Linked DNA regions of Saccharomyces cerevisiae S288C. The gene in region 1 interacts genetically with each later gene. Each region holds a gene or a part of one and is shown on either strand. Other genes may lie near its edges.

What was found.
Region 2: of CCC1 (region 1) and FET4, changing one enhances a phenotype caused by changing the other (phenotypic enhancement), as found in Saccharomyces cerevisiae (one study listed by BioGRID).
Region 3: of CCC1 (region 1) and FRA1, extra expression of one rescues a mutant of the other (dosage rescue), as found in Saccharomyces cerevisiae (2 studies listed by BioGRID, with this or other methods).

The regions. Positions count from the first base shown.
Region 1 is NC_001144.5:573,359-579,513, reverse strand, and holds CCC1 (Ccc1p), read right to left. Parts: upstream 2,690-6,155; coding exon 1,721-2,689; downstream 1-1,720. Other genes in the region: U3 snoRNA-associated protein UTP13, read left to right, coding at 1-196; RSA3 (Rsa3p), read left to right, coding at 490-1,152; MSC3 (Msc3p), read right to left, coding at 3,177-5,363; COA4 (Coa4p), read left to right, coding at 5,596-6,048. UniProt on the Saccharomyces cerevisiae protein: Has a role in both calcium and manganese homeostasis. Involved in the transfer of iron and Mn(2+) from the cytosol to the vacuole for storage of these metals.
Region 2 is NC_001145.3:912,626-919,374, forward strand, and holds FET4 (Fet4p), read right to left. Parts: upstream 1,914-6,749; coding exon 255-1,913; downstream 1-254. Other genes in the region: YMR320W (uncharacterized protein), read left to right, coding at 4,121-4,426; YMR321C (uncharacterized protein), read right to left, coding at 4,954-5,271; SNO4 (glutathione-independent methylglyoxalase family protein), read right to left, coding at 5,741-6,454. UniProt on the Saccharomyces cerevisiae protein: Required for Fe(2+) ion low affinity uptake.
Region 3 is NC_001144.5:78,960-85,708, reverse strand, and holds FRA1 (aminopeptidase P), read right to left. Parts: upstream 4,249-6,749; coding exon 1,999-4,248; downstream 1-1,998. Other genes in the region: polyamine transporter TPO1, read right to left, coding at 1-905; RRT7 (Rrt7p), read left to right, coding at 5,012-5,353; mannose-ethanolamine phosphotransferase GPI13, read left to right, coding at 5,504-6,749. UniProt on the Saccharomyces cerevisiae protein: Involved in the regulation of the iron regulon in responss to decreased mitochondrial iron-sulfur cluster synthesis.

The DNA.
Region 1 (6,155 bases):
TACCATAGCGCAAAGAACAATAAGATGTATTTTGATGCATCATAACATAGCAAAATTGAGTGAGATACCCGGAATGGTAAAGATAGTTGATGCAATAATTCCATACACGCAAAGGCATTTCACAAGGGTTGATAACTTAGTTGAACAAAGTTACATATTAGACTACGCGCTAGTGGAAATGGATAAGCTATTCTAGGCAGTAAGTCCAAGATATTGAGCCTTTAAAAGCAAGGCAATAGCAACATATTATTTTGTAAACTAGATATATAAAGACAAAATGCATTGATGAAGCGGAAAGCTTAAAATAATTCGATATATAATTAGGTGCCTTTACGGGCATTGAAAACTTCTTTGCGCGAAGAGCTCATCACTAAAAATTTGCAAAAAACGAAGAGCGAAAACTTTCATATATTGTAGTAATATATACAAGAATTTAAACTGCCCACTTGAAATAGCACGGAAAGAACTAGCCATAATATATTATACAGGATGTCGGCAGGTGATATATCAGCCATAAATATCAAGTCTGTCAAAAAAAACAGAAGGAGGAAGAAGAGAAGAACAGCTGATGTTTCATCATCAGATTCTTCATCATCGGATCCATCATCAGAAAGTGAAAAGGAGGAAATCCAAAATGGGGCCATCGAAGAACACGTTGGAGAAAATGGTAAAAGTGATCATGTTTTCTCAAAAGGTAATGACGAAGACAAACAAGAGGACATTGCAATAGAAGTTTCGGATGTCGAGCTTACAGACGAAGAAAGCAAGGATTTGAAGTTAAATTCAAAAGAAGTGATAGACGATTTAACCAAAATTTCTTTGAGCAAGATCCCAGAGCCTACGAAATCTCAAAACAAGGAGGGTTTTATGAATGCATCGAAAATTGCCGAAAATATCAAGCTTGCGAGAGAAGAATACAATGAATTGGCAGAAAACTTTGTGCCCAAAGGGAAAGACAAGACAAAGTTAAGGGAAGAATACTTAAATTTACTTTTTGAAAACTACGGTGATGATATCAATCGTCTTAGAGCTGCCCCGGATTTCACGAATAAATCACTATCCATTTTGGCAGATGCTCTGCAGGAAGGCATAGGAATGTTTGATATTGGTGAACTAGAATTGGTCTTGAAAAATAAAGAAATGGAGAACTGAAAAATATTGCTTTAAATCTTTTTCTAAAAGTTTGTCATGTTTCCGCGGAGAATATATTGACGTGCACATTAATTATTTAGATAATTCTTCGATTTTTAATGAAGAGCGGTCCTGATCCAAGTTGTGCTTCATATGGTATAAAGCTGATTCCAGTATACTGCACGAGAAGTATATGTATGTATTTTGTAATTTATATAAAGGCAAAAAAAAGAAAAACACTTGGGCATAATGGAGGAGAAGATCTTATGACCTGATAGTCAAAGAGAAAAAGAAAAAAGCAGAAGGAGCAAAGAAAGGCGGCGACCAAATGACGAATTAGATCCAATGAAAAACGATTCAATGCGAATAAAGGTTATCATGGATCACCTGATGGGCCTCTTGGCAATAGAAAAAGAAACTAGTTTGAAATTCATTAATATAAATAAATTTAAAGAGGAGAATATAGAAACAAATTAAAACGTAAAAGAAATGTATGTCGAGAAAATCCAGCCCAGTTCCAAGTATATAGCAAAGCTTCTCAATCCCAAATTTCTTTACAATAAATATGTATAGTGTTGTTACTTTACACTTAACCCAGTAACTTAACAAAGAACCAAGCCGCACCTGCTGCTACACCACCCACAACAACCATTTCAACACCTTCCGTAACTTTCTTTGAAGTCGAACTGCCACTACCCATGGATAGTTTTGTCTTTACGTAACCAAACCAGAATAATGTTACAACCATGACTATTATAGAATAAATGAGACCTGTGCCCACATCTGAGACAAAAAAATATGGCACTAGTGGTACTAGCCCACCAAGTAGATAACCGCCACCGATAGTGACTGCACTGATTAGTTCTCTATTCTCGGCAGGTTCGTCTAGACCCCTACCGTACCTGATAATGAAGTCAACCATTAGCTCAGGTGTTCTTTGTAAATCTTTGATGAACGAAACGATTGTTTCGTCCGAGAAATTAGGGTTAATCTCTAACAGAATGTCTTCAATTTCTCTGTTAATTAGGTTGGAGTTATCGTAAAATTTCCTTTTCTCCTTCTTTACTTCAGCATGATAATAATCAGATTCACTCTTCGCTCCCAAATAGCCACCAAGGCCCATAGAAATCGCACCTGAGATCAACTCAGCAAAGCCACCGGTAATGACCAATTTCGCATCACCAAGTGAAGATAGACCAGCTGTTAGAGCAAAGGGGACGGTTAAACCGTCGCTTAGCCCGATAATCAAATCGCTAATTACGCGAGGATCTACTGATTGGAAGAACCCTAGGTTCGCCTTTTCGTTATCCGAACCGTTATCGCCATTCCTATTATCTTTCCCTACTGACATCGGTGAGTTTTCTAGATCCTGCGCTGAATTTCTACCATAGATAATATCCGAGCTAGATGAGGATAAGTTATCATGCCTTGAACTATTGCTATTACTACCCCTCAACAAGGGAGTTGATTCAGACCCCCCCAACTCTGAGGTTCCACCACTACCTTTCGCTTTCTGTATAAGGGTCACCACTGCGTTCTTTAGTGCTACAATGGACATAATATTTGTGTGCACGAGATATGGGAGGACAAAAAAAAAGTTTCTTTGTTCAATATACCAATAAAAAAAAAGAGTCTAAAGGCTTCGTTCTGTTATATTTCTATTCTATAAACCTAAAAAAAGCAAAAATTGAGAGTGATGTCGCTTTAACTTGATTATTTGAACTATTTTGTTTTGTATCAATTTTTCATATATAATCTTAATTTTACATCTTCATTGTGAGACATTCGGGCTAACAAAGAAAACAAAAAATGCGGGTCACGAAAGGGGTACCGAGCCAATGAGAAGAGGGTATGTTAGTAATATTAGTGAGAAATGCGGCGCGATTGGTCCAGACCGAAAAAAATCAATATTATTAAACTGTAAAAGTTATATTAAAAATTAAGTTACATTAGTAATTGAAGTTCACAAGAAGAAAAAGAAGAGAATAAATCTAAAACCAGGCTTCAAAAATTAGGGTTGATTGCAAAATTCGAGTAAACAACTGCTAACGGCTGCTTTTTTTCTTGAACAGTTTAGTGAAGAAACTGGACTTCTTGTGCTTCGTGGGAGGATCTTGTGTTTGAGCCTGTATTGTCTTAGTGGCATGTGTCGAAGTGACCATTGTTGGCTCAGCGGCAGATAATTCATTCGTCGATGATGTTGTTGGATCCGTGGCGTCTTCCTGACGCTGAGGGGTTTGGTCCTGTAAAAGCGAAGAAGAAGACTTTAGATTATCCTGCAGTTCCGGTGATCTTGTTCTCGTTGTTGAAGCTACTGCGGAGGTAGGTACATTGCCCTGACTTTGCCCATTCGAGGACGCAGTAGTCGAGTCTATTTGTTGTTGAAGGGGTGAAGGTGAATCTGTAACTACTGGATTCGTCATCACACCTTCGTTTGAAGATGGCTTTGCGGTTGTCACACCTTCCGAAATAGACGCTGCTGGGAAGCTTTCTTCAGCATTACGAGTAACTGGAGTTTGTTCGCCTTGTTCCTTCTTGTGCTGGTAGCCGTAGTTTTCTTGAGAGAATTGCAGCACTTTATCGAACATGGTTTTGAACTTATTTTTGGAAGAACCAGTTGTTTTTGTCTTCTGCAATGGAATGGGCTCGTATTCATGCACTTCGCTTTGGACTGGAATTTCAGAATCCCCTAAATAGTGCTGCTCATTGGGCGGGATGCTCCCAGTGGATCCCAGATGGCTAACGCCGACCTGACGAGGTTTAGCCGCCGTAGTGCTATTATCGACTGCTTCAGGTTGAATACCATGTGAGTTGTAATACCTCGCTTGTGCGATTTTCAAAGCTTGGTCATACATTTCTTTATCTGTTAGCCCTGTGTTTGCACTTTTAGGCTCTGGAACTGGGTCAACAGCCTTATTCGATTTAAAATGTGTAGACACAGAGTGATTGTGCACTTCATGGGGGGCGCTTTTAGTATTTCTGCTGAAGAAGGAACTTGTAAATCTTTTTGGTTGAACCTCGACATTAGATTTGACAAGATTAGCAGTCGCCGTCGGAGAATCACTACTGCTTCTCAAGGTCATTTTTTGACCCATCCTACTTTTCCTGGATTTGTTACTCCCGAGGGGGGCCGATGCGTTATCCGAAGCAGCATCCGTGTGATAAACGTTTCTTTTAGCAACCTCTAGTGCCTTCAGATACATTTCTGCTTCGGTTAATGGTTTCTTGGCCTCTGCTTCTGCGTTTTTCACGGCAGGCGGTCTTTTCTTCCTTCTTGTCGTCGATGCTTGCTTCCTTTTATTATGAATATATTTACTACTGGTCTGATGGGTGGGAGGAATATAATCTAATGCGTCACTGAAGTTTGATAAACTACTTTCTTCTTCTAGAGGCATAACGTCTGTAGAATACTTATGGTGGAAATATGATCCAAGTGGGAAATCTGGTTTTTCCACGTTTAGCTCTGAATCATCTTGTAAATGACTTTCGCTTACTGGGGAATATGGCTTTTCGTTATCTGTTTCGTTTTCCTCGATTATATCGTGAATGTTATCACTAGCTTGTTCCTCTAAAATGTCGTCATCTTGCAACATGTAATTTTCACTAAATTCATCGAAATGACGCTGCGAGTCACCTAATGGAACCAAATTCTTAGTCGTAGTCGTGGTTTCTACGTATTCATACCCATTTATTTTTCTTATTGTCTTTTTGGTAATTGATTGAGTCCTTCCTGAAGGGTCTGTTACTTGTGTAGTCTTTACGGTAATGGAGTTGGCCCTTGAATCGTTATTGTTGCCGGCCGTCGATTTGTTCTTACCGTAGTTTCTTCTGACATTCGCACCAGACGTCATAGAATTCATACGGCTCCCATTAGTAGTATAACCGGGCGGGTGTAAATGGTACTCTCCGCTCCTTTGCGACCTCAACGAGTAAGTCTTCTGTGAATACTGCTTAGCTGCTGCCCTGGACGTTGGCGGAGCGGCAGAGGATGTGGAAAGCCTTCTTCCTGGGCTCTTTACCGAACTTCTTTGTCTCGGTATTGAAGGTGCATGACTAACCAGCGAGTGCGACCTTGAGTAATTGGTTCGATCCGGTGATGCGGCAGAAGCAGCAGAGGCAGCAGCAGCAGAGAGCTGAGGACTTTTGTTATAATCTTCATGGTTCTGATAGTAGTAATCATACCTAGATAAATCAGGTACCCTCCTGTCCCTCTTTGTAAAACCAAATACCATTTTCAACTTTCTTGATCAACAGAATGTCTTTGTTTGTTTATTCTAGTGAAAAAATAGAAGTAAAAAGCAATCAATATAAGCAACGTGAAACGATCGAAGGAAACTAAAAGAGGTTTGATGTTAGAAGAATTGATTAACACCAAATCAAGCAATTTATTGAAGTATGGGTCCCTGATGTTTGTCCTTCTCGTTCTTGCTTTCCCTCCCCTCTTCTCATCCATTCGCTTCATTTATGCTTTTATTTTCTTCTTTTTTTTCTCACAACAAATGTCCGAAACAAAAAAAGGGGCCTCAGCCATTAAAGGTAGTGAAAGGCACTTCTAAGAGTTGCGCCAAACAAGGGAAGATTAAAGGGAAAGAAAAGCTCTGGCAGGCTAAAACTGGCAGACTGGTCATGAGTGAAACTGGCGAAACTTCAGAGTATTATAAGCAGGCGCTGGAAGAATACAAAGAGGTCCAAGAAGACGAAGACCCGGATGTGTGGGACACGAGAATATCCAAGACCGGATGCTACGTAGAGAACCTCGCATTACAGCTGTGCCATGCCGAAACAGGTGACTGGAGGCAGTGCTTCAACGAGATGGCGTTATTTAGGAAGTGTTGGGAAAAGAATGGTAATAGAGAGCGCGTAAGCACAGTGGACGTGGATGGGACGACCAGTAAGGATTCGGAAAAGAAGAAATGAAAATCTAAATGTCGTGATGTATAACTTGTATATAATAGACAGCTGCAGTGATCGAAACACATTGTTTCCCTTTATAGAACATAACTGTTACGCTTTTGAACGGCATT
Region 2 (6,749 bases), on another chromosome or scaffold:
CCAAGTTGAAAATGAAAAAAGATCAATTAGCCACATTTTATCCTGGATTTATTATCTATTATATATCATTTTAAATGGTTTAGGCTCCCAGAGAAAAAAGCAAAACTCAGGTGAGGTATATGTACAAACTAAATAAAAGTTCTAAGGTCGATCGCTACCTCCGTATAGAAATTCCTAAAATCCCTAAGGAAAATTAACTCCCTCATAAGTAACATGAGGAATTCTTCCCACTAATGCTAAAATGTTCAATGAAGCTATTTTTCCAACATCATAACCTCTGGGAAACGCTTTTCTACGTATGATAGAAGTATGCGCCTACGTGCGTACAAAGCGGTAACCTCCACTCTTCTTTGACGATCGGCCCAATTATGTGCTTGCAACAAAACTAGCAAGAAAAATTCTTCGATAATCATAGTTGGCGTGTTAGCAATCAATTGACCTGTTGTACTCCAACGCAAACCGGAAGCAATACAAATTAAACCAATGATGATGATGACGGATACAAGAACACTCCATGGAGTTGAGCAGATCCTATTAATATATTGGGATGTTCTGTAACCAATAGTGTTAATTTCAGGAGCTTTACCACTAAATTCTTCGGGACATTCAATACCTAATTCTTGGAATAATTCAAGGTCTTCTTTAGCCACATCAGAATAATTTTTCTCTTCATGTTGAACGATTCGGAAGTACACTTCTCTCAAAACGAAACCGTCCAAAAACCCAATTAAACCTGTGTATGTACCGATAATCAACCACCAATTATCATCCCACTTCATTGGCGAACCAATACCAATCCATGTGGCGAACACTGCCACACCAATCAGGACACCAATACCAGTACCAATAATATCAGCATACCAATCAATCATCTTTCTCCCTGTCGACCTTTTTTTAGATTCAATAGTAACAACTGGGTGAGGTGTTTCAAAATCGTTAAAATGCTTTCTTATACGATAGTCGATTTTCTCGTCCATATCAAAGATATCAACTAAAAACCTCCCCGTGAAATAATCATGTCTAGCCCTTATATTTTGTAAGAAAGTAGTGCAAATTAGAAGGGAAACTGCAACTGCAGTGTTAATATACATCTGCCAAGCGTCACTGAACTTTTTCAATCTTGGATTACTACCTGTAGTTTCTCCGGTGTAAGGTGGAGTGTTGCCCGCATCTTTTGGGATAGCACCGCAACCAATCCAAACGAAAATACCTATCCAAAATATCACCATTGCTGCAATTGAACCCATATACCTACTTGCTACGTTAGATAAACGGTCGTACCAATTTTCCACAGGCAGTTCTCCGTTAATGGCAGATGGGTCTATATGATTTTCAACAGAGCTGACTTCATTAGCTTCAACTGTGCAGTCTGCTTTTTCTTCCTCTGGGGTGCTTCTTGTTAGATAGTTTTTGAAGGAAGCCAATCTCGACTTCAATCTACCGCAGATCAAAATTTGTTCATGCGTACTCATCAACTGTTGTCTCATCAACAGTGTGTCCCAAACATAACTTTGAATAGACTGTCCGTCCTGCATAACAACTTGCCAATTGAAAGGTGCGTTATAAACAATACCAATAACCACCCAAATTATGAGGATGATCCAAACAATAAAAAAAACCGCCTGCGAACCGGCCACTCGTACCAGGAAATCCAGGGTCTTATCTGTGAAACCTTTGCTTAACCCGGTAAAACCTTTACTCGTGAAGATTGCCCCTGTTTCTGTTAAATTCACATTACAAAGTTCGTCATCAGTACTCTCATCGCTATGGCTGACTACTCTGACCACATCATCATTTTTGTAATCGTTAGAATCACCGAATTCTTCGTACTGTTTGCAGTCAACAGTAGGTGCTCTATGATGAACGTCAGGCCTAGCACCTGGATTCCCGAGAAACTCTGCAATTTTACCCATAATTTGATTAACGAATGTTTAATAATAAGGGTCTTATTAGGTTTCTATATCTACCTTTTCCCTTCTTATATCTGATACTGTTTGACTTATGATAAAAGAAACTTACTTACCTATCAATTAATTCATGCCGTGTGAAGTATATTTATATAAACAAGTATTTCTAAATGAAGAGCATCGAATCAAGATGTGGTAGATGCTAAACTAATGGGTGCAATTAAGAAGGCTTCTACCAAGCAAGTTCAAGGCCAGTAGCATTATATAGTTTTTTTGTCTTTATTTTTTTTTTTGGTTTTTTTTTTTTTCGTTTGAGAAAAATGCTGCTTCCTAAAAAGACTCAGCAAAAATGCTCATGACCTAATCAGTTTCGAGAGCAACCCCACGGGTAGGAAAGAAAGAGGCGCCAACGTTAAAGGAAACTGCCCATATCTAATACATAACCGCACAAGCTCCAAGCTCATTCAACACCTGTGTGATTTACGCCCCAATAAGGCTCAAGATTCCTCAATATTTTGTCGTTGTTCGAGCCATGAAAACCTCAAATTACTGCTACAGGACCCTAGGGTCTCGCTAAAAAAATGACTACGCGCGCTTATATAATTACTCGAATAAGACAAAAGAAAAAAACCCTTGCGATATGTCGTAGACACGTAAAAATGGCCCATTTAGTGGTAGTCGCAAACTAGAGGGGTAAAAATAACCTGTCCAGTACTGAAAGTAATGCTAGGGAAATGCGAATGACCGTACGTACACCTTCGTACATGCAGGTATTTAGGGGGCTTATTGTTTATGAACAATAGCACTATGCCAGGTCAAACATATCATGTTCGCGCAGTCTCCTCGTGGGATATATAAAGTGAACAAAAAGTGCACCCGGTTTTCGGAACAACGCTCTTCGCAACAAGGCAAAAAAGAAAAATGGGACAACGTAATCGGAGAATACCCAAAGGACATTATAATCCAATCAACGTAGTAGTACGTATGGTTAGAACAGCAAGCACAGATATTTGCTCATATGCAAGGAAACTGGTGTGATTAGAATGCCTTAAACATGAGTCCAATGTATGCGAATAAGATGCTACGTTGAATAAGCAGATCAAAGAACTTTTGGTAGGAAAAGCTTCTTTTTTTAAAAGCGCACGTTTCTTTTTCTTTGTTGGACCTTCCATCAAAATCCTTAATACGTGCAGCGAAGCAGCAACGCATTGACAGTTCATACAGGAAAGAGGAACAAATATTTTGAGCTGCTTGTCCCAGGAATCTAGGTGCTTACGTATCTTTTATTTTATTTAAATGTATGATCTTACCCACGATAATGGTCTTAGTACTTTAGTTTGGCAATGATGGAACCGGAGGACAACGGACAAAAGTTAGGGTATCTTTACTCTGTCACTGCGTATTTTTTGAAATACACTATTTTTACAAGGAGTTAAGCATAACAAGCACGTGCTGCAGATGTTTTCATTTAGTGAGTGAAGATCTTTATTCAAGTAATTCATCTTCATCCGTATAACTTCTTAGTAAAGCGACAAGGTCTGATGGCCGAATTTTTTTAATTTTGGCCATCGTATTAAAATGAACACTCTAAAGCCGAAATGAGAAAGATCTCGCTAATAGTAGGTTAGGACTCAATGGCTAGGTTATATTTTTGCCTTCGTGAGAGTAATTTACGTCGAGTAATGTCGCCTGACATCCATATCCCTTTGTTATTCTTCATTAAATGTCACTACAAATTCTGTCCTTACTGAAGTAAAGAATATTTGAAAATACTACACTGATCTTTAATTACTGATCTACAATAACACACAGTGTTGAAGGATAATTCCAAGACTCTCACCTGCGACTGGTCGTGTTAGGAAACCAAACTGAAATATGCTAAATTTCGAGTGAAACCTACCGGAATCGGTACATCTCCAGAGGATTTTAAGTGAAGATTTAACATCGTATAACAAGCATGCATAACTTGTCACTGGGATAAAGAGAAGGTACTAAATTTTCGTAGGCGACAATTTTCCATCTCATAGAGTACTCGAAGAAAAACATAAACACTATTAAAAATAGCTCCTAGTAAAGGCTTTTTGGATTCTAATTCAAGTTTACAAATACCTACCAACAACATTCTTGATATTGTAATCTGCTCTGAAGTAGATACCCTAACGGGATTGTTAAGTCAGGGAGCAGCGTAACGACATTCACGAAAAGCTCTAAAAATGCGTAGATTTGGAAAGCCATGTATTGTTTCACATGAAATTTCGGCCAGGCCTCACATATTACAGCCTTGTAATTATAAGATGGTGCTGAGTTGTAAGGTAAAAAAACCCATTGAGTTATTGCACCTTCAAGAGTTAATACTTTACACTTTTATGAAAATTTGCCTTCACGTAAACTTGATCCAGCAAAACATCAATAAGTTGTCATATATTTCTCGAAAATATCCAAGGGCACCTGCTTTTATCAGCTGCGACAATAGAGCCACGGAGCCAACAAAAAAAGGCTTTTTAGTTTGCCGCATGTAATGATTGGCGAATAATTTTTCAAGGTTATGATTGTTCTTGGGAACACAGATCACGGAATCCTTTTGCCAATAATACATTAGATGGAATATTTGGATACAACTTTCGAATATAACGCCTTTTGAGCTAGCAATATCGACTGTATGGGAATATAAAAGTTAATTTTAGGCAATTTAATTAATCGTGACTGGTCGGAGAAGGCGAGATTGTAGCTCCACCATGTGAGGATTATTGGCAAAGGTTTAGATCCGGTGGAGATTTATCTTCTTTTACCCCATCTTACTTGTGCACTCTCCCAAATTCCCATCTGATGAACTGTTAGTTGATTCCTTTAGATTATAAAACATATGATGTTTACTCTGTTTTTTGTCGGCGAAGTACGGAAAAGCATTTGTGACTCTAAAAAAACATGGCAAGGATAATTAATTAACAATACTTCTTGTGCTGTTTATAAAATGTATTTAGTGTAACATGCTGCTTCCTAGCATATGTATAATGTTAAGAATTTTCCAGTTTCTTTAAAAAGGCATTTACGTGTATTTCTTGACGGCTGCAGAAATCTCTTGGATGTCTTTTGGACTTGTTCTGCAACAACCACCAATGATACGGGCACCGCTGCTAATGTACTGTTTAACAACCGTATCCCAACTGTTCAGCTTATCGCTATTTGGCAACCATATCTTCTTTTCAGTATCATAAACTTCACCACTGTTTGGATAAGCAAGCAAGGCCATATTTGGCAGTGCTTGATGTAGAGACTCAAGAATGTCGGGTGATTGGTTGAAGCTGACGCAGTTGATTCCTAAGAACGAGAGGTTAGGATTTATTTTGTCGCCCAAGTCCATCATCTATTTACTACGAAACGATAAATTTCCCCGTTTTCTTTTACTTTTACTTCATTTAATATAATTCATATTTATTTCCCATGTACCAATTAATTACTCCTAAAAGAACAGAAATAGAAAAAAGTTGTATATAACAAGCCAAAAAAAAAAAAGAAAAAAGGAAACACAGCTTATTTCAAATTGCAATCTGCGTATTTCGTAAGTAACGAATGATCTCACAGCATTGCTTTTTTTTTTTTTTTTTTTATATATATGTACATTACCTATGTCACATATGACCATGATGAGTACAACACTAAAAACCAAGGCCTACTATTCAATTGTTCTCTATATGATTTCCATTCTAGCAAAATCGAGTGCTACCGATCTGCCGTTTTCTTTACCTTTCGAACCATTGAGCTGTTAGCCTTCTCTTCACAGAAACTGAAGGCCATTAGAAGCCTCCCCTTCAACAATTCCCTTGTCTTTTGTTTCAGCTATATAATGCGTTTATAGCTCTAATTGTGGTCGAATAGGAAGAATTTGCGTTAACACCCGTAACTAGCTTTCCATCGGTAATAGAGTAGTCATCCCAGGGATGAATTGGCGCCAAGTACTTGGCTCTATTCTTGTTTGCAACGCGTTCAACCGTTGTCAATTTTCTGCTCCTCAAGATGTCGTCAACTCCCAGGGCGATTTCACCCTCGAGTGGGAAACCTGTTATAGCTTTGCCTTCGATTAATGGTCTTGTTGTTTTGATATCTATTAATCCATCGAAAAGGAGCGGTCCATGACAGATGGCGGCGATCACACCCCCATTGGCATATATCTTGGATGCAATATCTTGCAGATTTTTAGCTTTGGGATAGTCAAATAGAGCACCATGTCCAGCAGATGCAAAGAATATTTTATAGTCGCTGGCGTTGACTTCATTTGCGGTCTTGATCCTCGCTAACGCCTTATTGAAGGCGGAATTTTTCGTTTCAAAGTTCATCTTATCTTCGCCACCAATAAAGCTCTTTGGCAAGTAATGTTCATCCCAGCCAAATCCACCAGTCTCAGAAACGAAGTCCACTTCGAAACCATGCTTTTCGAAAGTATCGAACGACCGCAAAATCTCAACTACAAAAACGCCTGTTTTCGCACCATCTTTATAGAAGGGACCGTGGTATGAAGTAAGAGATATTAGCGCTCTTTTTGGAGTCATTGCAAGGCCAGTTTTCTTTTTGAATGAAGGAGAAAAGTGTTCTAGAAATATGTTTTAGTTCTAAGTATCGTTGTCTGGAGCAAGCAAAGAAAAGCAGACCTGTATGTGCAACTTTCTTGTTTTCCATTAAAATCTCAAGAACCGGCCCCTTGACTGTGCTCATATATCAAGTATCGGTTTTAAAGTCCCCTAATTGTGATAATTGCAAGAATGACAGTCAAAAAGATATTTTTCTTTTCTTTCTTTTTACCTATCCTTCATGAAAATACCTATGCTGATACTGAATATCTTCATT
Region 3 (6,749 bases), 500 kb from region 1:
CATCTCCAGGTAGTTCTTTGTGCGATATAAGAACCCATGACAGGCGATAAAATGGGGCCTACAAAAACACCTAGAGAAAATAGCGCAATGGCTTTACCTCTAACATTAGTATCAAACATGTCGGCAAACGCGGCGGGGACGACGGCCATGGGTGCTGCCCCGATAAAACCACCAAAGAATCTACATATGAAAATAGTTTGCAGGTTCTCAGCAGTAGCGACAGCAAATTGGAAAAGGGCAAATCCAAACGCAGATAAAACCAGAACACCCTTTCTACCGTACAATTCAGAAAGAGGAGCATAGATAACCGGTGAGGCCGCAAACCCAAGAACAAAAAGCGTGATACCCAAAATGGCGACAACTTCGATGACGTGGTATATCTCGCAGATTTGCGGCACTGCAGAGGCAAAAATGGAAGAACACATAGCAATGGCAATAGAATCCAGACATAAGACCAGACATAGCAGCACTTTCTTCTTCATGGGCCAGTTAAATGGATGTAGTGGGTCGTTAGGACCATCAAAAGTAACCTCGTACAGGTCTCTGCTCGGCAACGATGGAGGGTAAGGTCTGTCACCACCCATGGGCGCACAATTGGTATAATCAACCTCTACACGGTCAGGCTCGTTAACAGACCCAGTAAGGATTTTAGTTAATCTTCTCGTGATATTAACCTCTGATTCTGCAGCAGAATTCATAGTCGTCGTTCTTTGAATCGCTAAATCTGCACCACCATTGCCCTCCGTAGCAGTTGTGTATTTGGCACCTTCACCGGTGAAATCTACAGGTTCGACGCCTGTGGTTCCCGTGGTGCCCGTCGAATGCATATCGCTGGATGAGCTTCTTGACGAGTCTGATGGCAGCAGATGATTTTCCTTATTAGAAATGGGAGAATGATCCGACATTGTCTCTGTCTAGTTTTCTCTTGCTTCTTTGACTAAAAAAAAAAGTGACTGATAAAAGATCCAGAAATAAAGAGTTCCCGATATTTAGTATATGATCTCGTTGCAAGGGTGCGAAGAACCAATTTCAGATTATTGGATTTTTCTCTTCTATAGACCAAGATTATTTTTGAAAACTGGTGACTCAAGGCATACGAGCAGAAAGAAACATCAAGATCAAATGAGGTACCCTTTATATATAGAACACATTACTTGATAGTATATTCTGCACACATAAAAAAAAAAAAGAAAATGACAATGTTCAACGTTAAATTTTTCTTCCTTTTTCTTTAGGGAATTCCTACGATCGTTTCCTTTTAAAGTAAAACTCCCGATACGAAGATTTCTGTGTACCGACGGACGGAAATCTCGAATGGCTCTACTGTGAGACGGCTTCATAGCGACATAGACGGAAGGGTTTGCTTCCTTCCTTCCTTCCGCGTCCGCATCCGTTTCCGCATCCGCCTTCCGTATCCGCTTTTCGCTCGGTGCTTCTCTTTCCACGGAAAATCCTGCTCCTGCTCCATGGAACCAAAGCAACGGGGTCTGGCGGAACCTATAATCCGTTGTGACCGGGCCCGCATAAGGAATTCTCGGCTCTTAAAATAATCTATCCTGCGCAGAAAATACTGGCTGGCAAAAAAGAAATACTAAATCAGACTCCTTGTCTTTACGTTGGCTATGTAGTCCAAGCTTGGCAGTACTACTGGTGCCTGGTTATAAGATTGATTTTTGTGACTCTTGCGGAAAGGTTCGCCGAGCAGGGACCCTGGATGAAAAAATTTCTTGATGAGGCATCAGTATAAATCACTAGGGGGCTGTACATGCATGGTCGTTTAAAATCCGACTACGCACATTAACTCTTTTTGGCACTAAAAGCGCTCGGGGTTAAGTGTACCTACCCCTCTCCGGCCGTAAAAAAATGAAGGTAATGTTTTCAATTTTCACCTTTTAGTCATTATTGTTGTTATTGTTATCACTCAAATTAAATAAAAAGAAAGAAACTACTTAGAATAAATACTAACATTAATTGTATTGCGCCCCGCTCGCCTCGAAGTCATAGTGGGCTTGTTTCTCTTTTCAGCCACTTGTATGAAATACTCTGAGGCTGCAGAAAATGCACTATTGTCCTCCATACCCTTGCGTGGTACTCGTTAATCTGTGTTTTTTCTTCTTCGTTTAGTAACTTAGTATTGATCAACTTCCTGCAATAGGGAACCACAGTCATGTTTTCGAATTTCAAGAAGTTACCCTTCTCAGTGGCCTTCTTGATTAACATGTCGCTTTCAATCCTGATACCATACTCACCATCCTTATAATAACCTGGTTCGTTACTTATTATGTTACCCGCTCTTAAGGGGAAATTCATCAGATGTGGCCTAAAGCCGACACCCATGGGTCCTTCGTGAACGTTTAAAAATGATCCGATACCATGGCCTGTGCCATGTTTGTAATCTAACCCGCGGGACCATAAAAACTGCCTAGCGATGGCGTCGATATTAAACCCGGGAGTGTTTTCGGGAAAAATCAACCTCTCTAGGGCTAAGCCACCTTTAAGTACCAGTGTGTAATTATCCATTTCTTCTTTGGTTGGCTTTGTTAAGTGAATTGTTCTTGTTATATCAGTTGTACCCTCCAAGAATTGCGAACCGGAGTCGCAAAGATATATCTTGGTAGGATCAATCATCGAAGAGTTCTCTACGGGCGGCGAATAATGTATGATGGCGGCGTTACTACCTGTGGAGGATATTGTTTCGAAGGAATTGCCCATGAAGTTCCTTTGGGTTTTCCTAATCTCGGTCAATTTTTCTGCGGCACGATATTCATCTATCAGTGCCTCGCGCCCCACTAATTGCTGCTCCAGCCATGCAAAATACTGCACTAAACATACTGCGTCTTTGACCTGCGCCTTGTGTGCGTTTTTTATTTCGATGTCATTCTTGATAGATTTCAAAACATCGATGGGTGAGTGAATTATCGCAAAGTTTTGTGCAGTCATTTTTTTAGCTATTGCACCGTTAGCGTTGGTTGAGGTGTTCAAACAACGAACCATCTGCCACGATGCACTATCAGGAATCAAAAATTCATGCTCCGCAGAAGAAGCCTGCGAAGTTATCTTTGTTAAATGTTCCCATATCTGTTCGTAAGGTCTGACTTCAATACCGTTTATCTTAAAATATTCCGATATGTCATCATTGAAGGGGTTATTGGTGAAAAGAATGGTTTCGTCTTCGTTAATAGCCACGTAGGAGAAAAAAACTGGATTATAGTCAATGTCGGATCCACGCAAGTTCAACAACCAACAAATTTCATCCAACGCAACTACTATGAAAGTATTCCTACCGGTCGTCGCAGAGGAAGCCTTATCATTCAGCTTTTTCAGTAACTTTTCCTTCTTGTCTTTGAATTCTTCACCATGAAACTCGTATTTTAACAGTAGTAAATCGTTACAAGGCCTTTCAGGTAGAGTTTCAAAATCAGGCCAAATACTGTCAACTAAGTTTTCCTCCACGGGAACCAGCTCCACTTTACCCTTTGCGTCATATTTAGTGTCAATCATTTTTCTAAAAGAAACATAGTCGTTGAAAGTGATAAGTTTTGGGTCAATACCTATCTTCAACACCATTCCCTCTTTATTGCCAAGTCCCTTGGCCATTTCCAAAGCTTCTCTGACACACCATTCTTGCCAAGTGATTGGGTCTTCGTTTTGCCTCAAAAGTGTCCAATTATAATCTAGTTCTTGTCTAGCTTGATTGAAATATCTTCCATCAGTACTCAAAATGGATTTCCCATCCGGATGGTCATCGTTGAAATTTAACAAGTCTCTGGTGATACAGGCTACACCGGCCGATCCGGAAAACCCTGAAATGAAGGCGCGCCTTTGATCTCGCAATGATACATATTCGGACTGATGTTCGTCACAACTGGGCACAATATAACAACACAAATCGTGTTTCTTCATCTCCTGACGCAACTTCAACAATCTATCAGTAGTGTTAACTTCCCTGTTAACAGCGCATAGAGAGTCACATGAGTAAACAGACCCATTTCCAGCACTGCTACCTCCGCCAGCGCCCTTCAACTCGTTGAGAAGCATGCTGGAGGACCTCCTTGAATTTTCTAACTGTCTTAAAAATAGAGAGGCTCTACGACCTTGCCTAGACAGTAAGCCTGGAGAACACGTACAATCCGCACATGGCCTAAACGGTCTGGGGCTGTGTGATGCCGATGTTCCTCTCATGTGCGTGCCAGGTACATGGGAAATCGAGTGAGCCCTGCCGTCACTGGTGGATGGTTTCGAAGTCATATGAAGATTTTGTTTGTAATTATTGGTTTCGCTCTGTTGAGGTCTCCGTTTTTTTTTTATTCTTTTTTTTTTTAGCTATGCAGTCTTTTTGCCAGTGCTTCCTGCCTTTCCTGTATTTGTAAATATTGCACCTATTAAGACTAAACTGACTCAGTTTTTGTATGTCGCTTCCTTCTTGTTCCATCCCTCATTCGAAGTATTTCTGAAAAAAGAAAACGTAGAAGAAAATTCGGGAAAATGGGGTGCGATTTTTAGGGGTCACCCGGGGATATACCTTCGGGTAACACCAGAAGTCGTCAAAAACAAAACAAAATTAAACTAAACTCTGGCGGCTAAAAGATAATCATAATGCACATAGGGAAAGCTTTCTACCATATTTGAACACTTTAACGGTTAGTTGAAATAATAAGAAATAATTATATGTTTATTTTTACGTGGGTTATAAAGACGGGTAAATTATCTTCGTTATTACTCATGAAAACCTACAAGTAAGCGGCTCAATGGCATTTCGTGGCAGATAATCTTCAGCTATCATTATTATTTTTGAGAGGATGGTTTTTAGGAGCAGTTTGAGGAATAAACAAGAGCTTAATGTACCGTTATACATTTTTAAAAAGCTGTCTTTTTTATTGGGTTCACAGCTCTCATTTTTTTCCATGCAAAATCATTTTTTTAGCCGCCGATGCTTCAAAATGGGTTTAAGATATTTATTGTTTAAATGTTTCTGCATCTGGATTCACTGAAAAAAATTTAGACGCCTAACATGTATTTTGCATTTAAAGGATTATGCGGGAGAAGATTTCTGCCCATTGCCTCTTTTCTTACTATATTGAATAGAATATTATTCCAATACTGGCTTTTTTACAATTCATTAAAAGAGGAAAAGACATTTCAGAAAATTTTCTTCTCTATGAACCTTAAATGTAGGAAAAAAAAGGAACCAAACCACATCATTTACTCTCAACCGCCTTTCTTGTTGGGGTTCATGGTACAATTGCAAAGTTGTGTCAAGTTGTTGCCACTCTATCTTTTGTTTTTGTTACAGGGTAATGGCGCACATTATGCAAGCGCGATGACGAGCAAGGTACTTTCTTTTTTCCTTTAACATTTTGTTGTCCACCGGAAAATAAAAAAAAACAAATAAATGGGTAAGATCAAAAAAGGAATAGAAGCATATGTTTTAAGGGCAACGCCGAATCGTCAAAGAACGGGAGGAAGATCAATACATTAAGTGGAAAAAAAAAGCTCCCGTAATATGGATGAAAAGACAATTAAAAAGTCGATTCTTTCATCTTCCAATGATGAAAAAATAATATACAAATCGCGAATAAAGAAATTTCAAAAGAATCATAAATTTTATATTATTCTATTGGTTTTCATCGCCATTTTACAATTCATATCAATAGCTTTTTTCACTCGGGGATTCTTACTGTCAAGACACGTTCTTGATAATATTTCCTCACAAAACGAAACGAGTAAGTTACCTCCTAGGTTCAACAAGGCGGTGATTTTGGTTATTGACGCTTTGAGATTTGATTTCGCTATTCCTGTAAACGAATCCCACTCTAATTACAACTTGAACTATCATAATAATATATTATCATTGTATGATTCTTTTGCAAGCGATAAGGATGCATCTTCCCTATTGTTGAAGTTCATTGCCGACCCACCAACCACTACTTTACAAAGACTCAAGGGTCTCACAACAGGGTCCTTACCGACTTTCATTGATGCCGGGTCTAACTTCGATGGAACAGTAATCGAAGAGGATAACTTTCTTAAACAGCTCCATTTGGCAAATAAGACTGTCAAATTTGCCGGAGATGATACATGGATGGCTCTGTTCCATCCGTTCCTTTCCAACGATAGTTTCCCACTAGAATCACTCAATGTGTGGGACTTAGATACTGTCGATAACGGTGTTATGGATTACTTCCATGATCATTTACAGCAGGACAAGGAATGGGACGTCATGATTGGACACATGCTAGGTATTGACCATGTGGGCCACAAATATGGCCCCGACCATTTTACTATGAGGGAAAAACAAATTCAAGTAGATCAATTTATCGATTGGATACTAAAATCGATCGATGATGATACCTTATTGGTTATTTTGGGTGACCATGGAATGGACCATACGGGCAATCACGGTGGCGACTCCATCGACGAGCTCGAAAGCACTTTATTTCTTTATTCTAAGAAGCCGGACATGTGGAGACTTAAAGAAACTTCGAATTACAACATTGATAATTTGGGACACGATTACCGTTCAGTGAGACAAATTGATTTGGTGTCTAGTTTGGCGTTATTGATGGGCCAACCGATACCATTTAACAATCTTGGATGGCCTATTGACGAAATAGCAAGAAACGATAGAGAATGGTCTCAATTTGTCAACTCAGCGATAAGCCAATTACAATTATATAAGGACACGATGCAGATCCACCATGGCAATGACGAAATATTGGAACCGTTAGCGAAAAATATATCTAACACCC